Linked DNA regions of Rattus norvegicus. The protein of the gene in region 2 interacts with the protein of the main gene of each other region in a biochemical or structural test. Links are inferred from orthologs where the notes say so. Each region holds a gene or a part of one and is shown on either strand. Other genes may lie near its edges.

What was found.
Region 1: of the proteins of Usp33 (region 2) and Arrb2, one has a biochemical effect on the other in vitro, tested with the Homo sapiens proteins (2 studies listed by BioGRID, with this or other methods). The link is inferred for Rattus norvegicus from reciprocal best matches to the Homo sapiens genes USP33 and ARRB2.

Annotation. Positions count from the first base shown.
Region 1 is NC_086028.1:55,640,017-55,655,643, reverse strand, and holds Arrb2 (beta-arrestin-2), read right to left. Parts: upstream 10,043-15,627; 5' UTR 9,965-10,042; coding exon 9,942-9,964; intron 7,238-9,941; exon of another isoform or gene 7,212-7,237; coding exon 7,181-7,211; exon of another isoform or gene 6,838-7,180; coding exon of another isoform or gene 6,787-6,837; intron 6,569-6,786; coding exon 6,508-6,568; intron 6,404-6,507; coding exon 6,359-6,403; intron 6,173-6,358; coding exon 5,976-6,172; intron 5,877-5,975; coding exon 5,817-5,876; intron 5,432-5,816; coding exon 5,364-5,431; intron 5,229-5,363; coding exon 5,090-5,228; intron 4,862-5,089; coding exon 4,777-4,861; intron 4,503-4,776; exon of another isoform or gene 4,480-4,502; coding exon 4,407-4,479; intron 4,164-4,406; coding exon 4,026-4,163; intron 3,322-4,025; coding exon 3,238-3,321; intron 3,158-3,237; coding exon of another isoform or gene 3,141-3,157; coding exon 3,061-3,140; exon of another isoform or gene 2,988-3,060; coding exon of another isoform or gene 2,955-2,987; coding exon 2,900-2,954; exon of another isoform or gene 2,665-2,899; coding exon 2,571-2,664; 3' UTR 2,159-2,570; downstream 1-2,158. UniProt on the Homo sapiens protein: Functions in regulating agonist-mediated G-protein coupled receptor (GPCR) signaling by mediating both receptor desensitization and resensitization processes.
Region 2 is NC_086020.1:243,955,934-243,972,368, forward strand, and holds part of Usp33 (ubiquitin carboxyl-terminal hydrolase 33), read left to right. Parts: intron 1-886; coding exon 887-1,039; intron 1,040-2,491; coding exon 2,492-2,594; intron 2,595-4,204; coding exon 4,205-4,274; intron 4,275-6,658; coding exon 6,659-6,772; intron 6,773-7,209; coding exon 7,210-7,288; intron 7,289-8,568; coding exon 8,569-8,986; intron 8,987-10,594; coding exon 10,595-10,735; intron 10,736-14,068; coding exon 14,069-14,181; intron 14,182-15,412; coding exon 15,413-15,582; intron 15,583-15,680; coding exon 15,681-15,775; intron 15,776-16,435. UniProt on the Homo sapiens protein: Deubiquitinating enzyme involved in various processes such as centrosome duplication, cellular migration and beta-2 adrenergic receptor/ADRB2 recycling.

The DNA.
Region 1 (15,627 bases), on a different chromosome or scaffold from region 2:
TAAAAGTGTAGCGTCGTTAATAATAAATAACAAGAGTGTTTCGGAACTAGATAAAGGTGAGAGCTGTCCAACAATGTGGAGATCTCGAATAAGGCAACCCTGTGTGCTTTAAATAAAAAGGGAATGTGAGGGGCCGAAGAGATTTGCCCTGTGGTTAAGAGCACTGACTGCTCTTCCAGAGGTCCTGAGTTCAATTCCCAGCAACCACATGGTGGCTCACAACCATCTGTAATGAGATCTGATGCCCTCTTCTGGTGTGTCTGAGGACAGCGACAGTGTACTCACATACATAAAATAAACAAATAAAGTAAAAAAAAAAAGCACGGGGTGGATGCAAGCGGAGCTTCAGGAAAGCTCTTGCAGGTAACGATATCAACTGAAAGACACAGCAAGACGCAGATGAGCTCATGGTTTGCTGCCTTCTGTATTCGGTTGAGACTGAGCACACAAGGCCTGTGTACGTGAGACTCAGTGCGAGGAACAGTCTTTGAATAAACAAGGCACTGGTTGGTGATGGTGGTGGCTGGTAGGAAAGAGAAATTGGGGTGGGGAAGAGGACCGAGAGAGTTGGCTTTTCACTGTTTATTGTCTTATATGGTTCAGTTTTTTTTTTTTTTTTTTTTTTTAACCCATGTGCTTGGATTACCTCCCTAAACAGCACTGAAAACATAAACCCCCCTTTTAAAAACAAGGCATTCTTCAACCCATAGTCATGGGTTTTCCACTAGCTCTTCTGACTGAGACTGAAGGGCCTAATCCTGGATCTTTATCTCTGAGTCTTCTGGTGAAGCCTGAGAGGTCATAGAGCTGGGTCACAGGAGTCAGAGAGGCTGGAAGCAAAGACTTAAAAGGAGTTAGTCCCTTTGTGTGACAAAGCCAGCACGGGTAGGGGACATGGCCTGTGATAGGGTGAGCGCGGTCACTGGCATTGGGTTTCTGGCCTGTGGATAAATGATGATTTAATTACCATTTCAGAAGCTTTACCATAGACCAAGGCCCATGCAGGCTTCCCCCATTTGCCTCAGAGAAAACTCCCGTACTTCTTGGCTACTCCAGTCCCTGGTCTGAGTCTATTCACGGCACCTTCTGGCCTTTACACTGTAGCTTTGCTGTGCTCCAGGTTTTCCCTGCACATCCCCTACCTCGTTTTCAGTTCTCTGCTTAAAGGTTCCTCTAGAGAAACCATCCCCAACCCCAACCCCAACCCCAACCTAGATCGCCATATGCGCATTCCAAGTTCCCATCCTCCCTGGGACACAGAGTGCAACTAGGGAATGAGTTAATGCTTGTATGTCCCTATACCATGATTGGCATGTGGTAGGGATGTAGGTCAAGACTGTTCACAGGATGGAGCCTTTAGAAAGGTGTGCTGGCTGGTTTTATGTCAACTTGACACAAGCGAGAGGAGGGAGCCTTGATTGCGAAAATGCCTCTGTAAGATCAGACTATATAGGCAGGCCTGCAGGGGTTTTTCTTAAGTGACTGATATGAAAGGGCCCAGCCCATTGTGGATGGTGTCCCTCCTGGGCAGGTGGTCCTGGGTTCTATAGGAAAGCAGGCTGGACAGATCATGGAGAACAAGGTAGCAACACTTCTCCATGGCCTCTGTATCAGCTTCTGCCTCCAGGTGCCTGCTGTTTGAGCTCCTGTCCTGACCTCCTTCAATAATGAGCTATGATGTGGAAGTGTAAGCCAAATAAATCCTTTCGAAACTCCCATGTTGCTTTGATCATGGTGCTTTATCGCTCCAATAGCAACCCTAATTAAGACAGAGAGGTTACTTCCAGGAGTTGCGCTGGATGATGAGAAATGTCTGTTGAGTGTTGCTAACTCCTTCCCCCAGCCTGGCTTTGGCACATACAGTCATGTCGAGGAACCTGCCCTGCCCAGCTCAGGAGCATCGAGTCTTCAGGGAAGTTAGTTATTATTTTCCCTGTAAAAGACTAAGTTTACTTTGTGGCTTTACCAGTCTCAATCGCGACTGTGTTCCGACCAAGCTGAGTTTCAATATTTACCTTGGAACACAGGCATAGCACAGTCATCCAGTAAACATTTATTGATAACCTGTGTAAGGTACCCTGCAGATGTAGAAAAAAGCATCATCGATGGGGACACCATACCCCCTTTAAACTCCACTAAGAAAACACATACACGTTCATGCCTATTAAAAGGTTTATTTCTTCCCTATGCTCAGAAACGAAGATATGGCCTTGCTGGTCCCTCCCCTGAAATCTCATCTTCAAGGATTGGGAGGCAGAAGTGGTGACTGGGAGTGGGTTGGTATGAGGCCAAACATGGGTGTCCTTTCTACTCCTTTTCTCTACATTCACTCCTTGCTTTCAGTGTTCCCTTCCCAAAACTTTAGGTGTGTACACAGCTTGCCACCCTAGGGAGCAGGGCTGGGGTGGCAGAGCTGAAGTCAAAAGATTAATGCCCACTTTCAACGAGTGATGGGTCCAGTGTGTATCTCGGGTGGACGGACGGGGAAGGAGGAGAGGCTGGGACCCTCCTACCCGCAAGGGCAGTGGGACCTCAGTCCTGCCCACCCCTACCTCTCCCAGCCCCTCTTCCTAGCAGAACTGGTCATCACAGTCGTCATCCTTCATCCCCTTCAGCCGAAGCCTCGCAAAGTCCTCAAACACGATGTCGTCGTCTGTGGCATAGCTTGGTGACAGTGAGAAGGAGATAAGGTAAAAGCTTCTATAATCACAGAACCAGAGGGGTTCACAAGGGACCCAGGGCAGTAGCCACAGCCTCTACAAGCTGGGCCATCTCACTGGATAGTTCCACCACTTCTCCCACCAGAAGGAAGCAACCCATAAAGTAGGAGGGTGGATCTGAATGGCATGGGAATCTCTATCCTAGAGGGTCAACAAAGAAGGTAAGGGGTGTTTCTTACTTGGTATCGAATTCAATGAGGTTGGTATCCACAGGGATGTCTATTTCCCGGGGGGCTGAAGGGCAAAGAGGGGATAGGTAGAGGGGTGCTAGGACCATCACTTCCCCACTGACCCTGCTTCAGCTAATCTTTGTGGGGCTCAGGGTGTGGTCAGTACTCACCTGACTGGGGTCGGGGAAGGGTGATGTGGTCGTGGGGCTTGGGGTGCATTAGGACGAAAGGTAGCTCCACGGAGACATCCCTGGGGAGGGAGAGGGGCTGCATGAAGAGGACAATTACCACAACCCATGGATCCAGAGAACCCAGTGACCCTGCCCAGCCCTGACTACTGTACTCACCCGCCTCGAGACACCACCAGCTTCACCTTGACCCTGTAGGATACTAGGATTCCCAGCACCTCCTTGTTGGCTCCCTCCTTCACACTGCATTTGGGAGGAAGGAAGCTGAGGTCAGGGATCCAGGGCTCCTGAGGCACCAGCTATGCAGCCATAGCAATACAGGCTCATGGTATCCTCCATGCAGAACCTCCTGGGGCCTCATCTTTGGGGCTCACAGGGGTGCTTTGATCTATGGCACAGCTCCCTTTATCTATTTCTCTTTGTGTCTCTTCTCTCCATGTGGGCCTATGTGCTAGTGACATACGTACCCGGTGCAGAGGCAACACCAGGTGAAGCTCTGGCCTTTCTAGGGCTACACGTGCCCAAGGTCATAGTGACACATCACAATTCCTCATGCACACTGGGGACCATCCCAACTGTCCTTAAGCTTGGAAGTCTCTCTGCCTAGAGCCATCCATAACGCCTCCTTCCTCTGGGTCCTTCAGTGTTCACCCTCCCTGGCCAGTCTATTTAAAATCAACACAGCCCGCCCCTTTCTATACACTATCTGCTATACTCTATCTTTCATACTTTATACTGTTCTACTTAACACTTGTTCCTAACGTGCTATCTAGTTTACCACTTATCTGATTGTCTGTCTTCCCTCCCTTAGAATGTGAGAAGTTTCTGTCATTTCTGTTCACTGATACCTTCCTGGCACCCAGGACAAAGCCTGGCACTAGGCCTGCTTTGAACGGAAGCCCGTCCCCTGGCCCCTCCCCCCTCCCCCACCCCCCTTCTCCCCTCACATGGTGCTGGAAGCCAGGTTGGTGTCTTCGTGCTTGAGTTGCCCATCAAGGGCAAGGCCACGCTTCTCTCGGTTGTCACTGAGCAGCGGGGTTATGGTGTACACCTTGCAGAATGTGGAACTGGGAGACACCTGGTCACTGGGGGTTGGGAACAAGATTGTTGGAGAGACTGGGCTAGGGGAGGCTCATCTTACCACCCTCAGGCAGTCTCTCCTCCCTCACTGTCCATTAGGGCACAGATTATGAGAGGGTAGGTTCTGGTTCAACCTGTTGGGAGATAGTCAACAGCTTGGTGCCCCCTGGCTATAGAGAGACACCCTTAGAATCCTGCCTTCTCATGTTTTCCTGGAAGCTTGGGTCCCACCCTTGACCCTTACTCACTCTTGTTCAAGCTGAGCCACAGGACACTTGTACTGCGCGGTGCTGAAGAGGCAAATGTCGGCATACTGTCTCACTGTGGGGTAGGGGACCAAGTGGCTTTGGGTGAAGTATAGACAGTTACTGTACCACAATTCCCGACCACATGCTGGAAATCCCCCTGGGGGCAGCCCCATGCCCCCTTCCACCCCTGGCCAACAGACCTCCTATATTAAACACTAGGGCTGTATATTATTCTGGAACAGACTAAATTCTTTATGGCTTGGTAGGTTTCCTACAGTGGGTTATGGGCCTAGGCTGACATAAGGGCAGCAGAAACCCTTATAAGTAGGGACTTCCTTCCCCCATCCCAATGTCCACTCCCGCCTCCTACCAGACACTCTGATCTTCTTGACGGTCTTGGCAGAATTGTTGGTGACGTGGACGTTGACATTGAGGGGTTCCCCATGGTAGTACAGCTTTGGAAGGGAGGGGATTGCATAGCTTGTAGCTGGTTTTCACTGACCCCATTCCCTTGGCCTGCTCCATCCCCAATCCAGCCCATAGCACCTCTACCCAAGTGAGGCAATTGCCTTATTAAAAGAAAAAACCTTCCTAAACCACCATCTTGCCTGTGGTTTCACCCCTCCCCCCCAACAAGAGTCTGGCCTGCTTTGTGACATCTTTGTCACTCTCTCACACCCTACCTCTTTGTCCAGGGAAGCCTCTAGGTGCAGGGACCTCCGGTCAGACATGAGGAAGTGGCGTGTGGTTTCAGCTGATGGCTGGGGGCCGGGTGTCTCAGGAGCAAACTGTACCTTTCTGATGATAAGCCGCACGGAGTTCCTGAGTCAGGGGTTGGAGGAGGGGAAAGACTTAGGTGCAAGATAGCACAGGCCAATTCGGATTCCTACCCCCCACCAGGATACCTCGAGGATGGGTGGAAGCGGTTAAACCAGAGAGAAAGAGAGTTGTTCTTACCTTTTGTGGCTTTTTTCTTCTATAGATTTGGCACAGAAGGCTCGAATCTCAAAGTCTACTCCACAGGCCTTGGGAAGAGGAGGAAAGGCTGCCGCTTACCCAAGTCTCCTGGTACCACATCCAACACACCCCCTCCTTCCTCCCCGCTTAGTTCCTCTTGGTGTGGATTTTTGCCTCATCATGGAAACAGAGGGACTCTCTGGCCCCACTGTCTCTCTCTAGCTTGGCAGCTGGCAGAGGCTGGCTCATGGCAGTGCACGGAGGAGCCACTATACCCAGCAAGGTACATGCGGGTCAGAGAACAGATCTGGTGACCACACCATGCACACACGTCCATGGGGATACCTCCCTGTCCTCAAGAGCCCACTACACTTCACCCTCCCGCTCGGCTGCGTCTTGTGCATCTGCTGAGCCGGGTTCTGTTCACATACTGTTGAGTTGTCCCTTCTGTACCTTCCCTGTGTCCTCCGGTCCTGGCTGCAGTGTGACGGAGCAAGGCAAATTCTGGGGTATCTGTGGCAGAGAAGAGGAGGGGTTTCAACTGGTAACCGGCGTTTCATCCCATGTCAACCCCAGACCCCTTGCCCTGCAGGAAATAGACAGTTTCCTCACTGTGAAAAAAAAGGGGTGGGCATGCTGGCCCAACTTCTTCAGCAGTCGGTCCTGTAGGCGGGTGGGGGGCCGAGGTGGGTTGGGCATGGGGGGGAAGGCCTGGTAGGTGGCGATGAACAGATCTTTGCGGAAAGACAGGCCCAGTACATCCAGGTCTTCTCGGCCATAGCGGAAGGCACAGGTGAGGGTCACAAACACTGAAAAGTAAGGGTAAGTTGGGGTGATTAGGAGTAACCCCCTTTCTTCATGGTATCCACATCCTTCCTCGGAATAACAGACTTCCCAGAATCCTGCCCCCAGCTTCTGATTCGTCCTTCCTTTTCTCTGTTACCAATGCCAGCCCATCTAATGTCTTCTTCTCCCCTCCAGCATGGGTGCAATACCTTTCCGGTCCTTCAAGTAGTCAGGATCCACAAGCACCACACCATCTAGGAAAGGGAGATGCATTCATTTTCTGAAGGGGGCCATTCCCAAACTCAGGCACCACCTCCCCTCTTGGAGGATTGTGCTAGCCCCTTCTAGGCAAACTTACCGACAGGATCCACTTTGTCCAAGTGATCCACAAAGTCACGCTTGCCCAAGTACACGGTGAGCTGAGGATGTCAAGGGTCACAGGGAAAATTGGGGAGGATGGTGGCAAGCCACCAGAGTTCTCAAAGATGTCTACCCTATCCTGGGCTCCCCTTGGCTGGGTTATCAGGAAGGAATTTCTCCCAGTATTATTGGATGGTAAGAGTGGTAGGGTTTTCTAGACTACTCAGTAAAACTTTTGTTTAAGCTTTTACCTGCCCGCATTGGTCACTTTCCATACCTGTGCCCACCAACCACGGGTAGGTGTAAATGTGTATATATGTGTTCCCATGTCTTCAGGGAACACTCAGTCAGACCAGGCAGTTAGCAGCTGTCCCCACAACAGGCTCTGAGATAAACGGGCCACTGCCTGGGGAACTATTAACTTTTCCTAGCCCAGGCATCTTGCGTTGGTTCCTAAGAGAGTTACAAGCTAGCTTAGGAACCAAGCCCAGTCTCCACCCAGCCCTGTGGCTTCTTCAGACTGTGGCAAGGGGCTTAAGGAGGGAAGGAAGTCTGCTTTTAGCTGTCACAGGAAGTGGGGAGCTAAGGGTTGGGGATCATCTAGGGGTAGGCTGGGCTCTGATAGGGCCCAGGGAGGATCAAAGGGTAAGCAAGCATCGAGGGAGACTCACCTTGCAGTTAGGGCTCGACTTCTTGAAGACCCTAACAAAACAGAAAGGAAGACCCCACTGCCTCCCTTAGGCTGGGCAGGGACCACCACGCCGGGATTTATCCCTCCCCCCAGAGAAATGGAATTCACCCTGGATCCCTGCTCGACCCTTCCCACTGCTTTTTTTTACTGCTTCCCACCGGTATTTGAAGCCTCTTGAAGCCAACTGTCAGGCCTTTCCTCTTTGCTGTTGATGTTACTAACTCACTCCTCCGCTTATAGTAAATGGCCACTGTTTGCCCCAGCCAACTATTCAGGCTCTCCTGAGGGACCCTCTCCGAAACCAAGAGTCAACTGATGGCTACACAATGTCTGGGTCACACCTAACACTCCTCCCTCCCTTTTGACCTTGGCCTTAGTATGTAACTCTGGCTAGCCTGGAACTTGACTTGTAGACCAGGCTGGCCCCAACTCAGATCCATTTACCTCTGTCTCTTTGGTGCTAGGATGAAGGGGCACGAACTACCACACTCAGATGAACTCTTTAACTGACCTCTAGCTTCAAGGACTCACACAGTGACTCCTGGAGCAGAGTCTTTGCCCCTCAGATGTTTCTGTCCCCAAGTCTGACTATTTCATGAACCTCCAACAGCCCCGTTTCTGACCTCAGCAGCTTAAAAAAAAACAAAAACAAAAAAACCCACTGTGGTCCCCACACAGTAGCATCCTGTGACAAACATGGTGATTCTGGCTAACATTGACTGGTGACTGCTGTGTTCTAGCACTGTACCAACTGCGTTTACAGCTCTTATCGCCCAGTGACAGAGGCTAAAAGACCCCGGCTTTACGGCAAACAAGAATTTTGTCAAAGGTCACAGAGAAGGTACAGGGTGGGACTCGGATATAAACCTGAGGAAGGCACCCTGGTTTCAAGACCCTGTTCTCAACCACTAAGTCGTGAAGCTCGCCTGTCACAGTTTGTCAAGTCTAAGGGGATTTTTCTGTACAGACACTAGAACAACCTAAGTCTAGACTCCACCCACGGCTAGGAGGATAGGAAACTGTCTAGTGACCCCAGAGCTCTGGCCATTCCTTGGCTTGTTCTTCCAAGAACAACTCTACCCCTTCTAAGGCCTTTTGGCTCCGGAGCAATTCCTGAAAGGGCCCCCAGATAACAGGCTGAAAACTGCCCAGAGTTCCATCCTCCCTTCAACACACTATGTGAGTTTCTGCTTGGAAAAACCACTTGTCTCCTCCTTCCCCAAAGCCAAGCTGCCCATACATCACTGGGCCACACACACTTAGGGTCACATGGCATATACATAGGCTGCCCTAAGTATCCCCAAGTAATAAAGGCACATTTGGACATGGTGGCGGTTAGAATAATCACTCTAATTTCTGTCCCAATTAGGGCTGACAGCTTGGACATCACCTAGGTTGGCTCTTTCTCCTACTTCTGGTTTCCTCCTGTCTTGTATTTTCCCCCACTGGGAGCCCTGGCAGAACCTGTGACGACCACACAATCATTGTATCTCCGTCAGTTGCCCTGCTCTTACCCAGCCATGGTTAGGGAGGGCGCAGCGTGCACAGTGTGCTTGGCCAAGAAGGCAGAGCAAGGGAATTACCAGGGAGGTACCCAGCTTGGAGGGGTGCAGCTAAAGCAGATGCCTCTTTGTACTTCCTGCCATTCTCGCCATTTCCTCTGGCCCAGAATTTGATGAGATGGTAGGGAATTATGCCAAGTCAGCAGTCTTTCTTTGGTCCATCTATTCCCTCCCTGAAGTACTCAACGGAAATTTGGGGGCCTCCCCCCCAAGTAAGTGACTTCTCCTTTCTCTGGGGTTTAGTTTAACCTCAAATCTAGGAGGTCAATCTTCCCTGTAAGCATCTCTCTCAGATATTGGTCTTCTTAATACTTAAGGGCAGTGGGAGTGGTGGGGTTGGTCTCATGTTTTGCAGAAGTCACTGTTCATAATCAGGCCCTTATCCTTGGTCCTCTCTGGCTTGAGGCACATGGCCCCAACCTATTATTTAGTTCTTGCTCCTTTGGAACTCAAGTATTCACCCCATGTCCTCCTGGGGGTGTTGGGTCACAACAGGAAGTGGATTTTGCTATAGACCAAAAAAGAGAACTCTGGTATCAGTGGAAGGAAGGAGCCTCGATTGCACAGAAAACATCCGGGGAGAGGATGTGTGTCCAGGGCAGATACTACCTCTCTCTCTCCCCAGGACAGGAATAAAGCCCAATTTCAGCGAGGGTCCCTATGCACTCTACTCTCTCAAGAAGCTGTTGCTCCTAGCAACCTAGGAGAAGGCAGAAGTTTGGTAGCAGAGCTATCCGACCCTTGGGACAGGTGGGAGCAATCAGACTGTGGGGTATTGGGCAGGAGGCTTTCCATTGGTTGGGCACGAGTCTAGGGGAATCCCTTCCCAGCATCCAGTCTCCCAGCACACAACCCCTCGGGGCCGGCCACCTGCTCCTCCTTCCTCCGCCCCTGCATCACAGCCTGCAGAGAACCCAGTAGTCCGACTCCTACATCTCTGTGAGAACCCAGGCGTGGGTTTCCCGATCTCTATCAAGTCTTGCTTTTTGCAGGAGCCCCAGCACGCACCCCCACTCCAATATCCTCAAGGACCTAGGCTTGCGGCCCCGGACAGCTACCCTCTAGGGACCCAGGCGTCCGGCCCCGGGGTTTCTTCCCCGGTGTCCTTGTCTGTGGATCAACCTGGCACACTCCGCGAGCAGCCGCCCATGCCCCGCGGCACGGCCCCACCTCCCTTACCTGGTCCCGGGTTTTTCACCCATGGTGCGCGCGCGCTCGCCGCCCTCCACCCGCCGGGTTCGCGGCTCGCTCGCAGCCTTCTCACCCGCTGCCAGGTCCCCACTCCTCCCCGAGTCACTGCGCACGCGCGTCCTCACTCTTTCTCCTCCTTCCCCTCCCCTCGCGGTCTGGGTCTAGGGGAGCTGGGGCCAGCTGCGTCAGCCGGAGCCCGCGCGCCGCGGCGCAGCCCGCCCTCTTCGAGCTGGCTCCGCCCCACGCCTCCGCCCTCAGTCTCCCTCGGGGAAGCCTCCTCGCGCCGTCCCTACTCTCGATCTCCCCGCCCCTCCTCAAGCCTTTGGAACTAGATTGGGCCCCTTAAAATGGAGGCGGCCGCCTTCGAGAAGTTTAGAAGCAGCTGATTGGCCGTTGGTATCCATAGCCCTGCAGGGATCCCTCCCCTTTGTTTGCTTTCACTGTAGCGGAGGAGGGACGGGATCGAGGGGGCGGTGGGAATGAGCTCAAACACTGTCTGGGTCTGAGCACCAAGGGGCTGCCCACGTGGGTGAGCCGTATCTGTTGCGTGATGATGCTTGCTTTGGTATGCGCTGCTCATCCCTGAGCTTGCAGCCTTGTTTGGCCTACCTTTCCCGCGTTCTCGTGGTCTTCAGCTCCCCCTGGTGTATTGTCTTTGATTTTTTTTTTTTTTTTTTGCAGTGTCACTTTAAAACATTCAGACTTTGTCATCTCCCTTACCGTCTATCCTAGCCATCATTCACCTACTCCACTTATCTCTTCCATTCTTCATCCTTCCCTCCCTGCCTATTTTGTGTAAGTCACTGTGCAGAGCCATCGGGACAACATCATGGCCTAAGTTTCCTGGGATCCGTGAGACATATAAAACAGGTATTATGCTCCCAGGAACGCTATAATAGATATGACTCAGACCATCAAGCAACTAAAAGCCTAAAAGCGCTTGGCCAGCGTGGAGGAGGGAGTGCAGTCACTCCATAGCATAGGAAATTTGAGGACAGCCCTTCTGAAGGATGGACAGAAGTGGGGAAAGGACATCCTAAAGATGAGTAAGGAAAAGCACGCCCTGTTCTAAAATGTCTGTGGGTTAGATGGCAGGAGGTAGAGCTGCGGAGGAATAGAAGAGACGGTGGAAGACTGTGTATAGCAGGTGAAAGAAAGAGCCCGAGGAACTGTAGTCTTTATTTAATTTAATTTAATTTAATTTTCTGCTAGGGCCTCACATATGCTTAGCTCACCACTAATTCCAGCCCAGTGCTGATTTGATTGGGTTTTGCTTTCACCAGAGGAATGTCGAGATAGGACTTCTCTTTTTGGGTAACGTGTCGCATAGCGAGACCGCTCGCTAGAAGATAAGCTAGCCGAGGGAAAATGATGAACAGAGAGTGGAGGGGAGCAGAGGGGCCATATTAGAGGTTCATTGCTGGGGCAGCATTGACTGGGTTTGGCGGAAGACGACAAGGGTGATTGACATTTCTAGACTTACAGAGACAGGCTTTTCTCCTCTTTGGTCTCTTCCTTCCGCTCCTCCCTATTTCCCCTCAGTGGAATACCTTTGTGCCACTCTCTCCACTTTTCCGTTTGAAAAACAATGTGCACAAGACAAAAAAATCTCCCATCATCTTTAATTTTCGAACATAGACCTTGCTTACCACTTGCTTACCCCTCCCCTCATGGTTCTATCGTCACCTTCTAAGTTCACTCTTTTATTATTACAATTTATTATATTTATGTGTATGAGTGTTGGCCTGCAGGTATGTATAGTGCCTATGGAGGTCAGAGGATGGTATCAGGTCCCCTGGAACTAGAGTTGCAAGCAGTTATAAACCTCCATGTGGGTGCTAGGAATTGAACCCAGGTCCTCTGCAAGAACAAGAAGTGCTCTTAATCACTGGGCCATCTCTCCAGCCCCAATATGATTCCTGGGTGGCCTGGAACTCACAAGGTCCCCTTACCTATGCCTCCTGAAACAACAAACTCAGCCTAAATTTACTCTTAAGGTTTTAACAGTAAAACTTTGACTCATGAATGGCTCTTATTCAGGTTTGACCCTTGCCGAGGGTCAAGGTAAGACAATCTATATCTAACGTGGTATCTGGGGGCAAGGGATGTGGTTTACTTGGCAGAGTGCTTGCCTAACATACATGAAAACCTTGTGGGGAGCTAGAGAGATTGCTCAGTGATTAAGAGCACTAAACGCTTTCCCAGAGGACCTGGATTCAATTCCCAGCACCCACATGGCAGCTCACAGCTGTCTGTAACTCCAATATCTGACACCCTCACCCAGACACACATGCAGGAAATACACCAGTGCACATAAAATTAAAAATAAAAACCAAGACAAAAACCTTGTATTGGATCTCTGGCATTTTGCAAAACTGGGTGTGCTAGTGAGGGGGGGTCAAAAACTCAAGGTCATTCTCAGCCACATATCGAGTTTAAATTAGCTGTGCTGATGGAGATATTGTCTCAAACACACACTCACCAACGAAATAGAACAATAACCAACAGCAATATCAACAAAATAATAATGAGCTATTGGTTATAGCAAAGAGAAAGGCAATGGTCAGTATGGCATGAAATCTGTATAGCTTAGTGGGTAAATGCACTTAATGTTAACCCTGATGACCTGCTTGCGTACAATCCCCAGAACCAACCCCTACCCCTCCACATACAAGTTGGTCTCTGACAGCCACACAAATGCCAGGGCTTGCATGACCCTGTTACCCAAATACCCGAGGAATACAAGTGCCACTTAAAAAATAAAGTTCAGGATCCTAGCCCAGGGAATGATGCCACCCATAGTGGAAAAGTCTTCCCACGGCAGTCAACCTAATAAAACTATTCTTCCATAGGCAGAGGATAGATATGATAGTAGATCACCTCTCAGATAGGTAGATCTTATCAAGGTGATAACTGAGATTGATTGCTGTGTTATTGTTGTTGTTGTTGTTGTTGTTGGCTGTCAGGGAACTCACTCTGTAGACCAGGCTGTCCTCGAACTCAGAGATCCCTCTGCCTCTGTCTTCAGAGTGCTGGGATCAAAGGTGTGCACCACCACTGCCTGGCTATAATCTCTAATTTTAAAGGTCAGATAGAAAATGATGTTTTTCCAGAGAAGGTGAAGATGGCTTTGGCCTGGACTGCAGTCATGGGAATCTGGTAGCTGCAAAGGGTAGTGAGGGGCCACTGGCAGCATAGAAAGTCTCCCACATGATCACAGGACATGCTGCTAGGGCCATACCCTGGGACCCCAGGAGAACAAGCCAGGACCCCAAGAAGTATAATATGCATGGAGAAGGCTAGGGCAAGCTTGGCAGGGTATGGTGGCTATCTGAAGCTCCCTGATCACGAACATGGGAGGGATCCATGGCATGCGTGGGACCTCTCAGACCTGAAGTTGAACTGTGATGGACTCACGCACTGGGACCTAATATATTAGGAATCATGTGGACAGGTCCCCTATGCCTGTCTCTTGGAATGCCACGAGTAAATACCTCTTCAGCTTTGTGGCATCCCTAATTTTCATGTTCTGGGTGGGAGAGACTTTCCTCATCTACCAGCCTGTGGGGCCAAAGCAGTACCCTTTATCTGTTCCTGGAGTGAAGCAGTGAGCTTACCAAAGGACCTGAGCTGAGGTTTCACTAGATCGGAGGAGGCTTCGTGGGCTTTTGTGCCCTCTAACTAGAACGCCCTCACTCCGAGAGATTTAACCTTAATGAATAATTAACATTATATTAAATGAATAATTTAACCTTGATGAATAATCCCTAATAAGATTCAGAAAGAAAAGACTGTTTCCTTCTGGCATTTTCGCTGTTCACGCTCCATTGTCCTTCTGTTCCTCGTCCCCCCAGTCCCCTTTCCCCTCCCCATACTCCGCCTTCTGTTTTTATGTTTTATATATCCATATTGTTAAGTCTAGATACTGCATATGGGAGAAAATCTGCAATATTTGGCTTTCTTCCTGTCACCCTCTTTCCCATTCTCTCCTCTCTTTACATGTTCTCAACATACAGTTCTCTCTTTACTTTCATGTCATTACATAGGTACATATACATTTACATACACATTCACACATACATACACTCACACATCATATGTACATACATTCACATACATATACATATATACACTTGTACATATACTACGTATATTGTATATACATATATATATATACATATACACACATACATAATACATATACTGACTAAGAGAGAAAATATATTTGTCTTCCTCCATCTGGCTTATTTCACTCAATATTGGTGGTTTTCAACCTGTGGATCACATCCTCTTTGGAGGTCAAACAGCCCTTTTTCAACAGTAGTATCTCGGATCTCCTGCATATCAGATATTTGCATTATGATTCATAACAGTAGCAAAATTACAGTTATAAAGTAGCAATGAAAATTTTATGGGGTTGGAGAGATGGCTCAGTGGTTAAGAGCACTGGCTGTTCTTCTAGAGGTTCTAAGTCTGGTTCCCAGCAAACACATGGCAGGTCACAGCCATCTGTAATGGAATCTGATGCCCTCTCCTGGTGTGCATGAAGAACAGAGCACTCATATACATGAAAGAAAAAAAGGAAGGAAGGAAGGAAAGAAAGAAAGAACGAACAAAAGAAAGAAAGGAAGAAAGAAAGAAAGAAAGAAAGAAAGAAAGAAAGAAAGAAAGAAAGAAAGAGGTTTTATGGTTTGAGGTCACCACAACATGAGGAGCTACATTGCTGTATCAAACGGTTGCAGCATTAGGAAGGTCAAGAACCCCTGTTCAATGTGTTCATATCCAGTTTGATATATTTTCCTGCAAATGACATAATTTCATTGTTTTTTACAGCTGCATAAAACACAATAGTTTGGCTACTGTGAATACTGTATCCACTGTGAATACTGTTACAATAAATGTGGATGGGCCAGTATCTCTGTGGGATTGTGACCTTAGCCCAGAAGTGGCATGTCCAGGTCATACAACAGTTGTAGTTTTAGTTTTTTGAGGAATCTCCATGCAGATTGCACAGGGACTACACAATTTACAAGCCCCACCAGCAGCATGTAAACATTTCTTTTCTCCTACAGCCTACCAGTTTTGCTGCCACTTGCTTTCTTGATGACTGTTCTTTTGAGTCCGGTAAGATGGAATCTCAATACTCCAAGACACAATGGTGTATGTGTGTGTGTGTGTGTGTGTGTGTGTGTGTGTGTGTGTGTGTGTGTGTGTGTGTGTGTAAGCCAGAGGTCAACCTCAGATGTCATTCCCTAGAAGCCCTTTATCTTGTTTTTCTGAGACAAAGTAACTAAAACTTGGGGCTCCCTGGGCTCAGCGGCTGCCCAGCCAGCCTCAGGGATCCTCCCATCTCTGCCTCCCAAGGCTTTCAAGCATCTGCCACTGTCCCTGGCTTTTATGCAGGGATTGAACTCAAGTCCTCATGCCCCATGACCAGCATTTCAGTGACTAGTTCCTTAGTTCCTCCATACGGTTTTAATTCGCGTTTACCTGAAGGCTAAAGTTTTTCCCATATATTTATTGACCATTTATATTTCTTCTTTTGAGAACTGCGTGCTCATTTCATTTGCCTATTATTGATCGGATGCTTTGTTTTATTTTATATTTAATATTTGAGGGTTTTTTATATGAAAGGGTATGTTTAATTTTTTCCCCACATAACACTTGCATTTTC
Region 2 (16,435 bases):
CCAACTCTTAATCCTATTCTTGGCTGTTCACGTCAGTCTGACTGGAGTGCTGGCCTACATCGATCGCTCCACTTGTATGGTGCTTCCCACATGACTGGCATGAATCACGTAGACCTTCCGTTCTAAACAGTGTTTCTCAAATGGTATTTTAAAGTACCCTTTGATAATCTTTAGCAACTAGTTAGGCAACGGCCAAGTTTCCTCATGAGAATGAAGCCCAAATCTTTGAAGCCCTAAGGCAGCCTTGTACACAGTCACTTCCCTGTGCGTCTGAAATGATACTTTCTATGGCCGTCCTTCAGAAAACTGAGAAACCAGTCAGATGTAGAGTTGTGCATTCTGTAGGGCTCGGCCCTCGTGCAGAGCAGAAGGCTAGCTGTTATTGAGAGCTTAGTTTGAGTTGCTTGAGTTGTAATTTGCTTCAATTTAAATAATGTGCGTTCTTCTGCAGTTCTGTTTTCCTAGAGTTAAATACCCTGAAAAAAGTTGCCTGTGGTGTGACTGGGCTTGGATTTTCTATGAGGTAGAAGGTGATCTTGAACACATGATCCTTTGGTCTGCTAGGATTACAGGACTGCCATGTCCTGGTTTCTTGTATTCTTGTTTGCTAACTGCAGAGCTGAGGAGCCTTACACTGCTGTAGTCACTGTCCTGTGATGACAGGAACAGACACTGGGATAGCTTGTAGACTAGCTAGGTGTTGTTACTATACAAGGTTTTATAGTTCATCTAAAGAGTTTTCGATTGTTTGCGTGTGTGCTCCACAGTAGTTCTTCTGAATAAATTACTATTTGCCAAAGGCTGCAGTTCATTATGAGGTCCTCTGCAGACATGTTTTCAAGACTATCTAATGGCGGCTCCCTTTTCCTCCTCTGAAACTCTGCAGAAGACAAAGCATTATCTAACTGTGAACCTCACCACCCTTCGAGTATGGTGTTATGCTTGCAGCAAAGAAGTATTCTTGGATAGAAAATTAGGAACTCCTCCTTCATTACCTCATGTAAGACAGCCTCAACAAACACAAGAAAACAGTGTCCAGGTAATATCATTTAGATTATAAATGTTCAGAAAACAATTTTAAGAGTTTGTCATGTGGTTGGAATTTACAACCTTAAAGTACCTTACCTTACATGTACTTTAGAAAGCTTGTCTGTGTGCCAAATGCAGCACTCGAGTCTTGTTTTGTTCTTGCATAGCACAGAATGAATGGGAGGCGAGTGTGGGACTGAAGGTAGAAAACACCTGTGCCTTGCAACAGCTCTGTAAAGAAAGGTTGGAAGGGACATGTCATACCAGACACAGAGATTTTTGTCGATAACCCTTATCTTCTGGGTGAGACTTATCTATCCAGGCAGCATGCCTAGGTTCAAGTTCCTTTTTAAAGAGACACTGTAAAACTTAGCTTACAACATAATGGGTTTCTGTAGGCTTTTGTGAAAGTCTCTGTGAATCTAAGTCTTGAAGGCGGAAGGCCTCCATGGCCTGTGTGAATACAGCCCCTTTCCTGTTCTCTCCTCAAACATAGCTAACTCAGGGCTAACCTAGTCCTGTGGATTAGGAGACGTAAACACGTTTGCAAAGGTGGCCGATTCTCATCTACAGAAGAGGCCTTTGGCTGTGAGTGCATGTATAAAACTCATACAGAGAAGCGGTGAGAGTCTGTGGATTAGCTTATCTGTCACACCCTGTGTTGCTATAGAAATTAAGAGATTGTAAAAGACAAGGCATATCATAATTTAGATAAAGTTAGTTCTTGGGCTGAAATGCAGAAATGTTACTTTTTGAAGGGACTTTTTTTTGGAAAGTTTTTTGGGGACTGGAAAGGTAACTCAGGTTAAGAGTACCTGCTGCTCTTGGAGAAGACCTGAGTTTGGTTCCCAGCACCTATACGGGGTGAGTCAGCACTGCCTGTGGCTCCAGCTCTGGGCCTGCTGCTTTGGCCTTCTGCAGCTGTGCACATGTGTGCTCTCACATAGGTCCACACACACAGAAATAAAGCCCATTTTCTACAAAACATAAATGCCAATTTTGTAATGATTACCATTATTTCTATCTTTACTGCTGTTACATTTTACTTTTTAAAATTTTGGGAGTGTGGGTGTGTACATGTAAGTGTACTTAGGAATCCAGGAAAGCCATCAGATCCACATGAGCCAGATGGCAGCAGTTAGAACCACCTGACGTAGGTGTTGAAATAGAATCAGGGTCCTCTCATGCTCTTAGCACTAAGCCAGCTTCCTAGCCCTGCTGTTGTGGTTGTTTTCTGTAGCTCAGGCTGCCCTCTAACTTTTTACTAGCCATGACTGGCCTGAACTCGTCTTTTCGCCTGTGCCTCCTGAGTGTTGGGGTTACAAGCATGTGCCACCATGCTGGCAAATCTCTGCTGTTATGGTAATATCTTTTAATAGTTGTGTGATATAGATGTTATGTAAGTTAAAGTATGTTTTGATTAAGGATTTATTCAGGTTTGTTATGTCTTTTTTTTATTAAGGATTTTAAAATACCCAGTAATACAGCATTGAAAACCCCTCTGGTTGCTGTATTTGAAGATCTGGATATAGAAGTGGAAGAGGAAGATGAGCTGAAGGCTAGAGGTAAAGGCTCGCTCCTGTCAGCACCACTCCACTCTGTACGGCACTGCCCATTCATTAAGAACTGCATAATGAGAAGCTCAAAGTACAAAGCTTTATTAGTAGAGCTTAGAGGTGATAACTAAGAACAGAACTGAGAAGTTGGACCTTGTGGGCCAGTGTTTGAAGGTAATGCAAACCTGATTTGTCACACTTGGACTGCGCCCTGTCGTTTAGGAGCCTTTAGCTGCCAATGTTATTTTGAGTTCTCACCTGCCAGGGAAGGGTTGCTAGGGGGATGTGAAGTCGCTTCCTTGGCAGACTGTATGCCTGTGGCCCAGCGCTCAGGAGGCTGAGGGCAGAGGTTAGCTTCCGCTGCTCTTATTTTACCCTCATCTACAAAAAGAAAAAAAAAATAAATGAAAAGAAAAAAAGGAAGACAAGAATTTGCCAGGGGCAGCATTATTTGGAAAAAGAATCAGGTGGTTCTAGAGGTCCTTTTGCCCTGTTCACAAAACTGTTAACTCCTACACTGGGAGACAGTGTATCAGGATTTCCCACGGTTTTGAGGCTCACAGTATTTAATGTGAGTAAGCATTGGATGTTCTGTGAGTTCTTGGAACACAGGACCTGTGTGCATATCAGACAAGCATCCTTCCATGAGCTATATCCTTAGCCCTAGGATTTTTTAAATTTGTGTTCTTTGAAACAGAATTTCTCCATTACGTACTTATAGCTGTCCTGGAACTTGCTATATAGACCAGATTGACCTTAAACTGACAGAGATCTGCTTGCCTCTGTTTCCTGAGTGCCAGGATTAAAAGTGTACACCACCACACCTGGCTTATAATTCTAGATTTGGAATATTTGTCATTGTTTCTTTTTTGTTGTGTTGTGATGTCAGCCTCTATTTTCTCTCTTAATGATGGAGTGAACTGAGAAAAATAGAGTGCGTTGGACAAAGTAAATACAGCCTATGGAAGGCACTGGCACTCCACGCCAATCACAGGGTCAGGCCGACTTCTCACTTGGGCTTTGGGAGGAATGAGAATTGTAATCTTAAATCAGATTATTTAAAATATAGTCTATATTCTTAAGCTGGTAGTGTCTCAGTACTTGGGAGGCAGAGGCAGGCAGATGTCTGTGAGCTCAAGGTCAGCTGGTCTGCAGAGTGAGTTCCAGGGCAGTAGTGATAATAATGAGACCCTGGTCATTGTGAGCCCCGCCCCCCCTGCCCTGCCCCTATGCATTTGTCATTACATAACAGTAGAAAAAGTTTTTTTAAGTGCAAACTTCTAGGTTAAATTAACAAATCCTTGAATTTATCTAAAGCTTAAAAGATTGGAGAGTGAGAGATTTCCAACAGTGTGGCCTCTGAGTTGTTCAGGCTGCTTCCCTGTGTCTCCATGTTTCTGTGTTTTAAAAGTTGTTCCTGTACTGTATGTGGTGAATGTGTGTGTGTTTGCTCACTAGGCATTTAACTCAGGGCTCTATGCACAGTATACATATGCTCTGCTAGTCAACTATCAGCCCATTTTCATAGCTTTAACTTTTGAAATTGTTCTTAATAAACACCAAGAAAATTCAGTGATTCATGTTTTATTGAATGATGACTTAATATTTCTTCTGCACAGGCCTGACAGGTTTGAAAAACATTGGAAATACTTGCTATATGAATGCCGCTCTGCAAGCTCTCTCTAACTGGTAAGCAGTGAGACCAATATTGGGTTCTCTCCTTTTCTCCTCCTGCTCCACCAACTCCCCTGGTTGTCCAGGAACTTGCTGTGTAGACCAGATTGGTCTTGAGCTCAGAGATCCAACGGGATATGCTTCTCGAGTACTGGAACTAAACATGTACCCCACCATACTCAGGTCTAGTATAAGGTTAGCTAAGATAACTTGTTACTACAGTAGGTGACTAACTCCCAGAGCAGAGAGGCAAGAACCTGGGTGAAGACATCGTTGTCCCAGTGGGATTGCTGTGTGTGCATCTACGTTTATTATTTTGTTTTTCTCTTGGCAGTGTCTTATTTTCACCCAGGCTGGCCTCCAACTGTGTAGTTGAGGATGGCCTTGAACCTGGTCCTTATGCTACCACATTTCAAGTCCTGGACTGCAAGCATCTATAGCGTGCACAGTTAATACCTGTAGTTTTCTAAGACCGAGGATCCCAGCTCAGGCTTCCAGTAGTATGTCCTTGGTTTTAGTTTTTGCAATGCTGGGCCTCAACCCTGGGCCCTTAAGCACACTGCTGTACTGAACAATATCTCTAGCAAGTGTATTTATGGACGAAAACCAAAGAACTTAAATTTGTCACATTCTCAGATCATTTTTAGGTGAAAAATCATATGAAAGTATGTTTCTACTGGTAGAATCCCTTGAATAGAGAGCATTCACCCCCACCCCACCCCCATTTGCAGCATATAAATAGGGTGATTATTACTTTGTCAGAACATGACTTGAGTTTGAAAATAGCTTTGGGAAAGAGTTTGACACTGAGAACCTGGAAGAAAATCTGGGTGGCAGACATAGTAATTGTGGAGTAATTGCATAGGGCCATGTGCAATCCACATTAAAACTGAGGTCTCAGGTGTGGTAAGGGACTACCAAAGTCCTTTTACAGCAGGGGAATAGAGGAATCTGTCTTGCAGCCCTGGTTGCCATGTGGATAGTGGGTTGTAGGAAAAAGTATAATTTGGAAAAACAGAAGATGTATAATAATCTAAGTAAGAAGTAAGAGTACCTTACACAATTTTGGAGTAGATGAATTGGAGAAAGACATTTTTTTTTTCTTTTTTCTTTTTTTCGGAGCTGGGGACCGAACCCAGGGCCTTGCGCTTGCTAGGCAAGCGCTCTACCACTGAGCTAAATCCCCAACCCCGAGAAAGACATTTTTTACAGTTGGTGGTTGCTAGGATATGGTTAGAGTACTGGGAAAGGGAGGAGATTTGAAGTTTAATAGTAGAATCATTTGATGAAGGAGTCATTTGGAAGGGCAGCAAGGTTTCTTAGTCTCTGAGTCTTACTATCTCTGTCTTTCTCATATGCATACATAATGTTGGTAATAAGAATGGAGAAGATTGGGCTGGAGAGATGGCTCAGTGGTTAAGAGCCCTGACTCCTCTTCCTGAGGTCCTGAGTTCAATTCCCAGCAACCACATGGTGGCTTGCAACCATCTGTAAAGAGATCTAATGCCCTCTTCTGGTGTATCTGAAGACAGCTACAATGTACTTATATATAATAAATGAATAAATCTTTAAAGAAAAAAAAAAGAACGGAGAAGATTATTGGAAGATCAGGTTCACTTGCAAGTAAAATTCTGAGTGTGTTAGATTAAAATATCAAGACAGTGGTCAGTTTGAGCATTTGATAAGAATTCAGTTGATGAAAGGTGTCTGAAGGCTAACATGAATGTGGCCGACACTGGTGTATTTGTGGGAATTGAAGATGGCCCAGGAAAGAGTAAAGTCCCGAGTCAGAGTCCTGGGCACCCGAACAGAAAGAACACTAGGGGTGGAGGCTGCACGAGGAGGACAGTAGCAGTGTTTACTGGGATCTGCTTAGTTCTGTGCTTTACGTAAGCAGGAAGAGGCTGAGGCCAGCCTCAGCAGCACAGCAGTCCCTCCTCCCTCCTGCCCTGTCTTTCCTCTTCACCCTCTTTTAGTCCTTTTCTGCCTTTTTCCATACCTCCTTCCTTCCTTGTTTACTTCAGACAGGTCTCTGTGTAGCCCAGGTTAGCCTTGAGCTCAGTGTGTTCCTCTTGGCCCTGTCTGCTTAGTGCTGAAATTACAGGTATGTGCCTCCCTGCTCAGATTCTTAATAAAGAACAAAAACAAAAACCAATTTAGAAAGAGATTGGGTCAAGGCTCAAGCCTCTTATCCCAGCACTCAGAAACAGAGGACCCTGACGTGGTGAGTCCAAGAATGATTTGTTAAACTTATTAGTGATATAAAGGAGTGACTGTCAGACCATAAAGGGGCAAAGACCTAACAGAGAGGTTGATGTGTGCTGTCAATCATTGTGTAATTAGAAAGTAATGAGAACTCAGCCTTAATTCCACTCTGCTATTGCTCTCTTTTCAATTAGCCCACCTTTGACACAGTTCTTTCTTGATTGTGGAGGACTGGCTAGAACAGATAAGAAACCAGCCATTTGTAAAAGTTATCTCAAACTAATGACAGAATTGTGGCACAAGAGCAGGTATGTACTTAATATAATTATGTCTTAAATCAGTATTATAAGTATGGAATGAAAGCAGAAATGTTTGGAGGGTTGAAAAAAAAAACGCAGGAAGGAGATTTGAGTTGGGTCATTTGAAGCTGAAATGCAGATGGAGCAGAGGCCATCGTCAACATCAGCTGGTTATGTGGAGGCTATGGAGCCTCACTGCCGAGGTGCAGAGCAGCAGAGCCTTCCCAGACTGGGCAGGGTAGGCCAGGCCAGCTGCCTGCTCTGCCAGTGACCGTGCCCCACCCATATCTTAGCATATTGGTCATTAGTTGCGTATTAGGTTAGTTTTGCTTTACAACTGTTTATGAAGTTGCATTTTTGAAAAATATTGTGCAGTGCGAGAGTAATAAAATTCTTTAAAAAAAATTAAAACTACAAAAGTATCTGTTTAAAACTTTATTTTTCAGGCCAGGATCTGTTGTGCCTGCTAATCTGTTCCAAGGAATTAAAACTGTAAATCCAACTTTTCGAGGCTATTCTCAGCAGGTTAGTTATCCATATAAAAATCCTTAAACTTTTTAACAAATGTGTTTAATTTCTTTGTATGACTTTGTTTGCCTGTGTTTATGTATGTGCACCATGCGTGCCTGATACCTGGTGAGGTCAGAAGAAGGCATCAGGTTGCCTGGAACTGGAGTTCCGGGGCCCGTGAGCCATAGCACATGGGTGCTGCAGACTGAGCCGGGTCGTTGACGAGCAAGTGCTCTTCACTGCTGAGCTGCGCTGTGTCCACTGCGGTCACCCTCAGTGAGAGAGAGAGTTATTACACTCCATTTCCCAGTTGTCCTTTTTCATCATTGTGCCTTTGTCTTTGGTGTTTGGACTTGTGAGACTGGGTCTTTTGTATCCCTGACTGGTCTTGGCCTCTCTGTGTGTGACAGCCTTAAGTTTCTGATCGTTCTTTCTCTGCCTCTCATGTGCCGGGACGACAGAGGGGCCTCCAGCACACCTGGCTGTTTGTTTGTCTTTGCATTTCTGTGGCTCCAGTGAGTGAACAGTGTTCTCCCCCTGCACCAACCCTTGTGATTTCTCACTGTGCTGTCTCACTGTCATAGGGCAGCTTCCGTTACTTTAGTGGTCTGCAGTCCCTGGACAATTTATAGCTGGTCCTCACACATTTCTCTTTTCTCAAACCATTACTTATTCACTATTAACCTTTAACATATAAAGTTCTGGATCTCCAGACATTATAATTTAGAGCTGTAGGTTGGAGCTCAGGAATTTAAATTTTTTTATTTAATGTTACTTGTGTGCATGAGGAAGGGCAGTGTACACATGCCACACTACATGTCTAAAGGTCAGAAAAGAACTTTGTGGAGTGGGTTGTTTTTCCACAGCAGGCTTAAGAGATTGAACTTGGTGGTCAGGCTTGCATGGTAATCACTTTTACTGAAACTTCTTTGCAGCTCAGGAAATATATCATCAAAAAAGTTCTTGTTGATCTATGGACAATTTTTCTTTGAGATACAGTCCATGGATGAGAAAAACTTACTTAAAACCAATTTCCATAATAACTTATTTTAGGGCATATTTCCAAATTCTGACTATCATATGAGGAAAATCCTTATTTTCTGTTGCATCCAGTTTCATTACAAAGCATAGTTTTTGTTTGCGTAGCTGTTGGAATCTGTTGTTGTAGGTCTGCTGCAGTATGGGCTGTAGACTAGTCAGTGTGACGTGATATGTCCACAGTTCACTCACTCACGCCTCTTAGGTTCCGACAAGCACTCGCGTTAGAAGGTAATGTGGTTTTGTTGATGTGCTAGGATGCCCAGGAATTCCTTCGCTGTTTAATGGATCTGCTTCATGAAGAGTTGAAGGAGCAGGTCATGGAAATAGAGGAAGAGCCTCAAGCACTAACTTCTGAGGAGACAGTGGAGGAAGAGAAGAGCCAGTCAGATGTGGATTTTCAGTCCTGCGAGTCATGTAGCAGCAGCAGTGAGAAAGGGGAAAATGAGAGTGTCTCTAAGGGCGGCCCTGAAGACAGCACTGAGACCACCATGCTCATTCAGGATGAGGAGGACCTAGAGATGGCCAAAGACTGGCAAAAAGAGAAGATGTGCAACAAGAGCAACAAAGCAGATTCTGACGGAGAACCGGATAAAGACAGAGACACGGTGTGTGAAACAGTTGACCTAAACAGCCAGGAGACCGTCAAGGTGCAGATACACGGCAGAGCCTCAGGTGACGATTAACACTCGGACTGTGCAGTGCTCGTGTGGCATGCGCAGACTGTCACTTTGGAACAAGTCATTTGTTTGTTTGTTTATTTGTTTACTTACTAGGCAGGGCCTTAATGTATGCCCCTGGCTGTCCTGGAATGTGCTGTGTAGACAAGGCTATCCTCAAACACTTCTGGCTGCCTCTGCCTCTTGAATGTTGGGATTAAAGGTATTTGCTACCACACCTGGCTTTTGGGAGTTTTAATAGACTTGCAGTTTAACACTGTCTGCTTGCAGTGTTCAGTGAAATCATCAAGTTAGGAAATTAAAAGTAAGATAATTTTGTGGATCATTTACTTAGGACTTCATTTTTTTTCTATTTTATTTATTTTATTTTATTTTGGTATAGCAGAGCTCATTAGGATTCCTTTATGGTTACATAGTAGTCTAGAAAATTAGTCTCTTTGGAATTTCCCCTTTTATTTCAAGCAAATTCTGTTGAGATCCTGAGGATTTGAAACACAGCCCATGATCTCCTATCATCGTGCTATGGCACCCAGTGGTTTGCACTGTAGACGGAGCTGATGTGTGCATGAGCTTTGTTAAGGCTCACTGTATTGGACAGTGTTCCTTTCAAGAAGGAAAATACCCAAATGAAAGATATGAGTTGGACTATGTTACACACCATATTTTTCTCCTTAGGAGCTACCCTATCTTGATGTGCTATTGACTACTCTAAATTCTATAAAATTAGATGACTAGAAAGTCAGATTGTGCAACTTAGTGGCCAGGAAATGACAGAAAGTTAATCTCTGGACTATTGAAGGGAATCCTGGCAGTGAAGTGTCTGAGTGCATCACAGTTCTGCCTTGAACAGTATTTCTTTAGCTTAGGAAAATGGAGGCTTACTTGTGCTTGCCAGGGACATAAAGTCAGGAGTGCTTAGGCTCTGCACAGACTCACTGTGGACATACGGTCTTTAGCCAGTGAGGGCCTGAATGTCAGTTCCTGTGAAAAGCCAAGGGAAGCATGATTCAGGGACACACTGGTCCTTTATTACTTGCTTGTGGGGTTTGTTCTTAACATATAGTAACTAGGGGTTGGGGATTTAGCTCAGTGGTAGAGCGCTTGCCTAGCAAGCGCAAGGCCCTGGGTTTGATCCCCAGCTCCGGAAAAAAGAAAAAAAAAAAAAAAGAAGAAAAAAAGAACATATAGTAACTAGCTACTAAAGTAAAGTAGGTCTCAGAGTTTTGTGTTTCAAGTCTGGATGAAAAACTATGACTAAGACCATGGAGTACACAAAACCTAAAGTCCTTACTGTCCCCAGCAGGAAGGATGAGCCAGCCTGTGAAGCCTTGGGCTGCAAGGTAATGGAGGCTCTCAGCAGCAGGGCTCGGCTGGCCTCTTTACTTATGCTTGAGAGCTTTCTCCTGTCGTCTTAATTAAATTGGTATTTATTATGAGTATGAGTGTTTTGGCTTCATGTACGTATATGTATTGTATGTGTATTGTACTTGTGCCTGGAATCGTTATGTTAATTAACATTATTGTGCACGTGGGGTATAACTTTACTGAGTAGTTTCATTTATAATTTTAATTGAAGGTAATAATAAAAATTTAAATATTACAGAATATATCACTGATGTCCATTTGAATGACCTATCTACACCACAGATCCTTCCATCAAATGAAAGTGTTAATCCACGTTTATCAGCAAGTCCTCCTAAGTCAGGCAATCTGTGGCCAGGATTGACACCTCCACACAAGAAAGGTAAAAGTACCCATAATTCAGTTCCTAACTCTGAAGTGTTTACCCAGTTTGAGCTACTGATGCTGATGAAGTGGTAGGGACTATGTGTTCTCGTACAGTTGATAGAACTATGTGACCGTGATTAGGACATTTGTCTGTGGTTCTGTACTTTAAACTTTGGTTTTTTTATAATTTAAGATAATGATTTTGTATTTGAGTATCTTACCCGCATGTATGTATGTGCATCCCATGTGCACACAGAAGTTAAAAGAGGACATGAGATCACATGGAACTGAAGCATGGTTATGAACCATTACCTGGCTACTGGGAGCGAACCCTGTGAGAGCAGCAAGAATGCCTAACTGCAGAACCTTTCTAGTCCGCCCTCTCTTTTACTCACCTTTTAAACCTCCTGTGCCCTTCAGCCCATTCTGTCCTGCAGTTCCATGGTCAGATTGTCATCCTACCCCTCAGGCCTGCCACACTGATACTCTGGTCCTAATGTGTCTGTAAGGCCGGAGACTCCTGATGGCTTCCCTTTCTCTAGAGTGCCCTGTAAATGATGCCACACAGTACCATGCTAAAAAGCAGCCTTTTTTCATGTAGCACAATGTAGTTAAGAATTGGCTGCATTGGGCTGGAGAGATGGCTCAGTGGTTAGGAGCACTGGCTGATCTTCCAGAGGTCCTGAGTTCAAATCCCAGCAACCATATGGTGACTTACAACCATCTGTAATGAGATCTGATGCCCTCTTCTGGTGTGTCTGAAGACAACTACAGTGTACTTGTATATGATAATAGTAATAATTAAAAAAAAAGAGTTGGCTGCATTGTTGTACGTCTTGCTACTTTCTTTTCCTTACCAAGTTGAATTTAATTTCTGTCACCAAATCACTGTTTATTCACTCATCAAGGGATTTTTGAATTGTTTTAAGTTTTTGGCAGTTATAAATAATACTGTTAGAAACATATACAGTTTTTGTATGATGTTAAGTTTTTCTTTGATCAGAGATAAGGTCTTAGAATTATATTTCCTGGGTTTTGAAGATTATTTATTTATTTTTAATTTCATGTACATTATTGCTTTGTCTTCATGTATGTCTGCATAAGGGTGTTGGAACTGGAACTCCCTTGAACTGGAGTTACAGACAGTTGTGAGCTGCCATGTGGGTGCTGGGAATTGAACCTAGGTCCTCTGGAAGAGCAACTAGTACTCTTAACCACTGAACCATCTCTGCAGCCTCTATCTCTTAGGTTTTATGTTCATTTATGCTCACCACTGTACAAACCTGCCTCTTTCAGAATGTCTGTACCATTCTGCATTGCTGCCAGCTTTGTATCAAAATGCTAGCACTATAAAATATAAAACTATAAAACTCACAGAGGACACCATGTGGTAGTGCGTGCCTTTAATCCCAGTGCTCATAGGAAAGTTGATCTGTGTGGAGTTCAGTCCAAGGACTGTATGGTTTATCGGGATTATAGGCCAGTCAGAATTGCATAATGAGAACCTGTCTCACACAAGCAGTGAACAGAGAAACAGCTGGAGGCCTTAAAGGGTTTCTCCCAGTGGATAGCAGACATGAAAACATGGTAGAGAGGTGGGTCAGGGGATAGCAGTGCTTGCTGTATAAGCTGGACAGCCGAGTTCGATCCCCAGAACCCACAACAGAAATAAAAGGAAAGAACTAACTTCAGGTTGTCTTCTGACCTCCATACTTCATGTACATACAATCCCATGTACAAAATAAGGATACCATCTGTAAAAGAACCAGTGAGTCTTGGCAAAGGACTTTATTGAGATTTAAGAAAGGGTAGGATTGGGAAGAAGTATTTGTAGGTGGACAAGCCAGAGGAGCATATCCAGTACTGCTCACTAACAGGAAGTGCAGTCGGAATGTTGTTCTGAAGGATAATATGCAGGCCGGGCCTGCTGCTCTGTCCTCATGACTTCACCTGCCTCTCCCAGTTGCACCTTTTTTGCTTTGTGGTCCATAAATACTCCAGTGATGGGGCCAGCACATCCTGTGCACATGGGACACAAATGACTAGTGTGTTGTGCTGTTAACTATTATTATTAATTAATTTCAGATGGTTTTCGTATTTCCCTATGTACATTTTATGTGACTAAAAATCATAAGTAATTTAAAGCCAGCTGAAGCCTTATTTGATTTTTGATTGGCTTTTCTATCTGTTTAAAGTAACAGTTTTTTCTTGGTTTTGGTTTTTGAGACAGGTTTTACTGTGCATCCTTGGGTGTCATGGAACTCACTAGGCTTGATCTTGAGCTCAGAGCTCCACCTATGTCTGTCTTTCAAGTGTTAGAATTCAAGGCATGCACCAACACTCAGCACTAATTTTTTCTTTAAGAATTTCTTTTTAACGGGGCTGGGGATTTAGCTCAGTGGTAGAGCGCTTGCCTAGGAAGCGCAAGGCCCTGGGTTCGGTCCCCAGCTCCGGAAAAAAAGAACCAAAAAAAAAAAAAAAAAAGAATTTCTTTTTAAATTTTTATTCATGTATAAGTGTGTTTCTCTATGTATATGCCCCATGTGCTTGGGTGCCCATGGAAGCCAGAAGATGTAGGACCCCTTGATGCTAGAATTACACACAGTTGTGGGATGGGTGGGTGCCTTATGTAGGTGTTAGGAACCAAAGCCTGGTTCTCTGGAAGAGCAGCAAGTGAGCCATCTCTCTAGCCCTAAAGCAGTAATCTTGGGTGGTTTTCTGAATTCCTTTTATAGTACAGTAATTATTTTTTATGTTTATTGACCTGTGTGTTTGTGTCCATGTGTATGTGTGGGTGCACATGCCACAGCATACTTGTAGAGGTCAGCAGAGAACCTGTTGGTTTTCTCCCTCCATTATATGGGTCTTGGGAATCAAACAAGTCTGAGATGGACAGGAAGTGCTTCTACCTACTGAGCATCTTGTAGGCGGAGTATAGCATGGCTCAGTGGGTAAGACCGTGTGTAGAGTTTAGTGCTTGGCATTTATATTGGGTAGCTTTAGATTGCCCCTAACTCTAGCTCCAGGGAATCCAGTACCTCTTCTGGCTCTCATGGGCACCGTATGTACATGCAACAGACACATACACATACATAGTAATAGATAAGTACAACTGAAAAAGGAAAATATTCTAGGGAAAGCCGGCACACGCGCTGCTCTTCTAATCTAGTGTCATATGAGATGGAAGGAAGAGGACCAGGAATTCAGAGTCAGTCTCAGAATCATTGTGAACCTGAGGCCAGTCTGAGCTACACGAGATCCTACCTCAAAAAACAAAAATCCCAAAACAATTAAAAAATATTCAAGGAACGAACTTGATTCTTTCTAATGTTCTGTCTTTTAATTCTAGCTCAGTCTTCATCTCCAAAGAGGAAAAAGCAGCATAAGAAGTACAGAAGTGTCATCTCTGACATATTTGATGGGACAATCATTAGTTCAGTACAGTGTCTGACGTGTGATAGGGTGAGTATGGAGAACCGTAACAGGATGTTTCTGTCCAGTGTTATTTGTAAAAACCTAAGGATGGGAAGAGTTAAATAGATCATTGCTGTTGCAGCCCACACATTTCTTGTGTGTCTGTTAGTTATACATTGAGTTGAGATGTAGAGTAACAGTACAGCCCACATCCTTTGTGCAGGACCACGGGCTCTTTGTCTGTTTTGGTTACATATAAAGGTGAGAAGTTACTTGGCAACAAGAATTGTTAACAGTGCTTCTTCTCCCACGGCTGATGAAATTAGGTATGCCCAGAAACACTTGCATTCACAAGCAAATGGCAGTTGAGTGTATTCTTACATTTGCCTTTGCAGGTGGCTTGTAAATGATACATGTGTTTCAGTGATGATACCAAAGTCACAAACACGGTTTTGTCTCAAACAAATTTCATGAGGGTTGACTAACACCCAATCCTTCAGAAAGAAAGAAATCCTTCAGAAAAGAAAAAATTAAGATTTCTTAATTTTTTCATTTTAGTGAAATACAGTAATTAGTATGCTTAGTGAATGAGAACTCATGTCTAAGAAACGAGAAAATCAACTTTCAATTATTGTGTTATAATGTTAAGTCACTCAGTAGGCACTCAGTAGGGTCATTTTCATACTGATGGTGTATTATCCCGAAACGTTTTATCTAGTGTATGTGTATTGCTGTAGTTAAGGACAGACTGCATGTGACTGTCATGGAAGATTCTGTTAGCAGAGTATTGTAATCATCTTAGTGTGGTATTTACTCCATGGTTGCCTGAAGCAGCGTATCTCCCATGATGCATCCCTGTTGTTAAGTGCTGGTTGATGCCAGATCTGGTTTTCTCCTTACCACTCTACCACAGCCTGCAGTTTCATGTACTTTGGAGGCTGAGGGGAGAGGATGCCTTGAGAACAGTTTGGATGGTACAGTGTATAATAAGACCTAGTCCCTCAACACTCCTAGAAAGGAGCGTGAATGTCAGTCTCCATTGCCCGTAGCTGGGTTTGTTGTGCTTCTCTGAGCCATAGAAATACTCATGACTCGTAGGAAGATTATATTTGGAACAGTACCTGGTACAAAGTGGACTCATTTCTATGTGTAGTATTCTAAAGCTGTTGGTATTTATATTTGCTTATAGTAATAGCTTGCTTTCATATGTGGAAGAAATCTAACCCTGTAAATAACTGTCCTGGATTCTTTCCATCCTGTTAAAACCAAACACTTGCAGGTGTCTGTAACCCTCGAGACCTTTCAGGATCTGTCCTTGCCGATTCCTGGCAAGGAAGACCTGGCTAAGCTGCACTCCTCCAGTCACCCAACTATAGTCAAAGCAGGGTCGTGTGGCGAAGCCTACGCTCCACAGGGGTGGATAGCTTTCTTCATGGAGTACGTGAAGAGGTGCGTGTTTATTTCCTTTGCTTGGATTGATGGTTGGTGCTGCTGCTTCTGCTGTACTAGCAGAACACTTCCTTTCTCTCCTGTCAATGATGTTTCAGGTTTGTTGTCTCATGTGTCCCTAGCTGGTTTTGGGGTCCAGTAGTAACCTTGCAAGATTGTCTTGCTGCCTTCTTCGCCAGAGATGAACTTAAAGGTAAGAAATACGATCGCATTTATGACTGACTTTGGTAGGTGAACCAATGCTTCATTTCGGACAGTTAAATAGTATTTGTTCATATTTGCATGGTGGAGGAATCTTCAGTGGCAGTTGAAATATGATTAGAAAAGTCCTGCCCTGAAGGAATTTATATAGATTTCTATAATACAAAACAAGACATCTTCACGTTCTGTGATTCTGAGAAGGTGGATTCTGTGAAGATGATGGGTGCAGATGCGCCTTGAACTGTTCACAGCTGCACCTGCAGTGACGGTCCTATGCAGCTGCGCTTGCCTACTCTGTGGCTTCTGCCTTCTACTCTTCTCTACCGTTTTTCTTCCCTTTCAAACCAGCCCTAACACTAGAGAAGAGAGAAAACAGAGTAGAGAGGAAAGGAAAGAGATCCCTGAATAAGGTCCGGGGTCAGAAAGGGGGTGGGCTGTTACTTCTGCTTCCTGCTGATTAGGATGTTCAGTTCCTTGGAACAAGTGTGATCTTTGCTGTCAGGACATCTAATTTCTTTTTCTCATTTCTTCTTTGCATGACCAACAGTAATGAACAACCAAACAACTTACCAACAGACCTCCCACCTCTAGGGGCCTAGCGATTTTATATCCTCTGAAAAGTCTCGGGATTCCAAATGTTACACACTTGCAG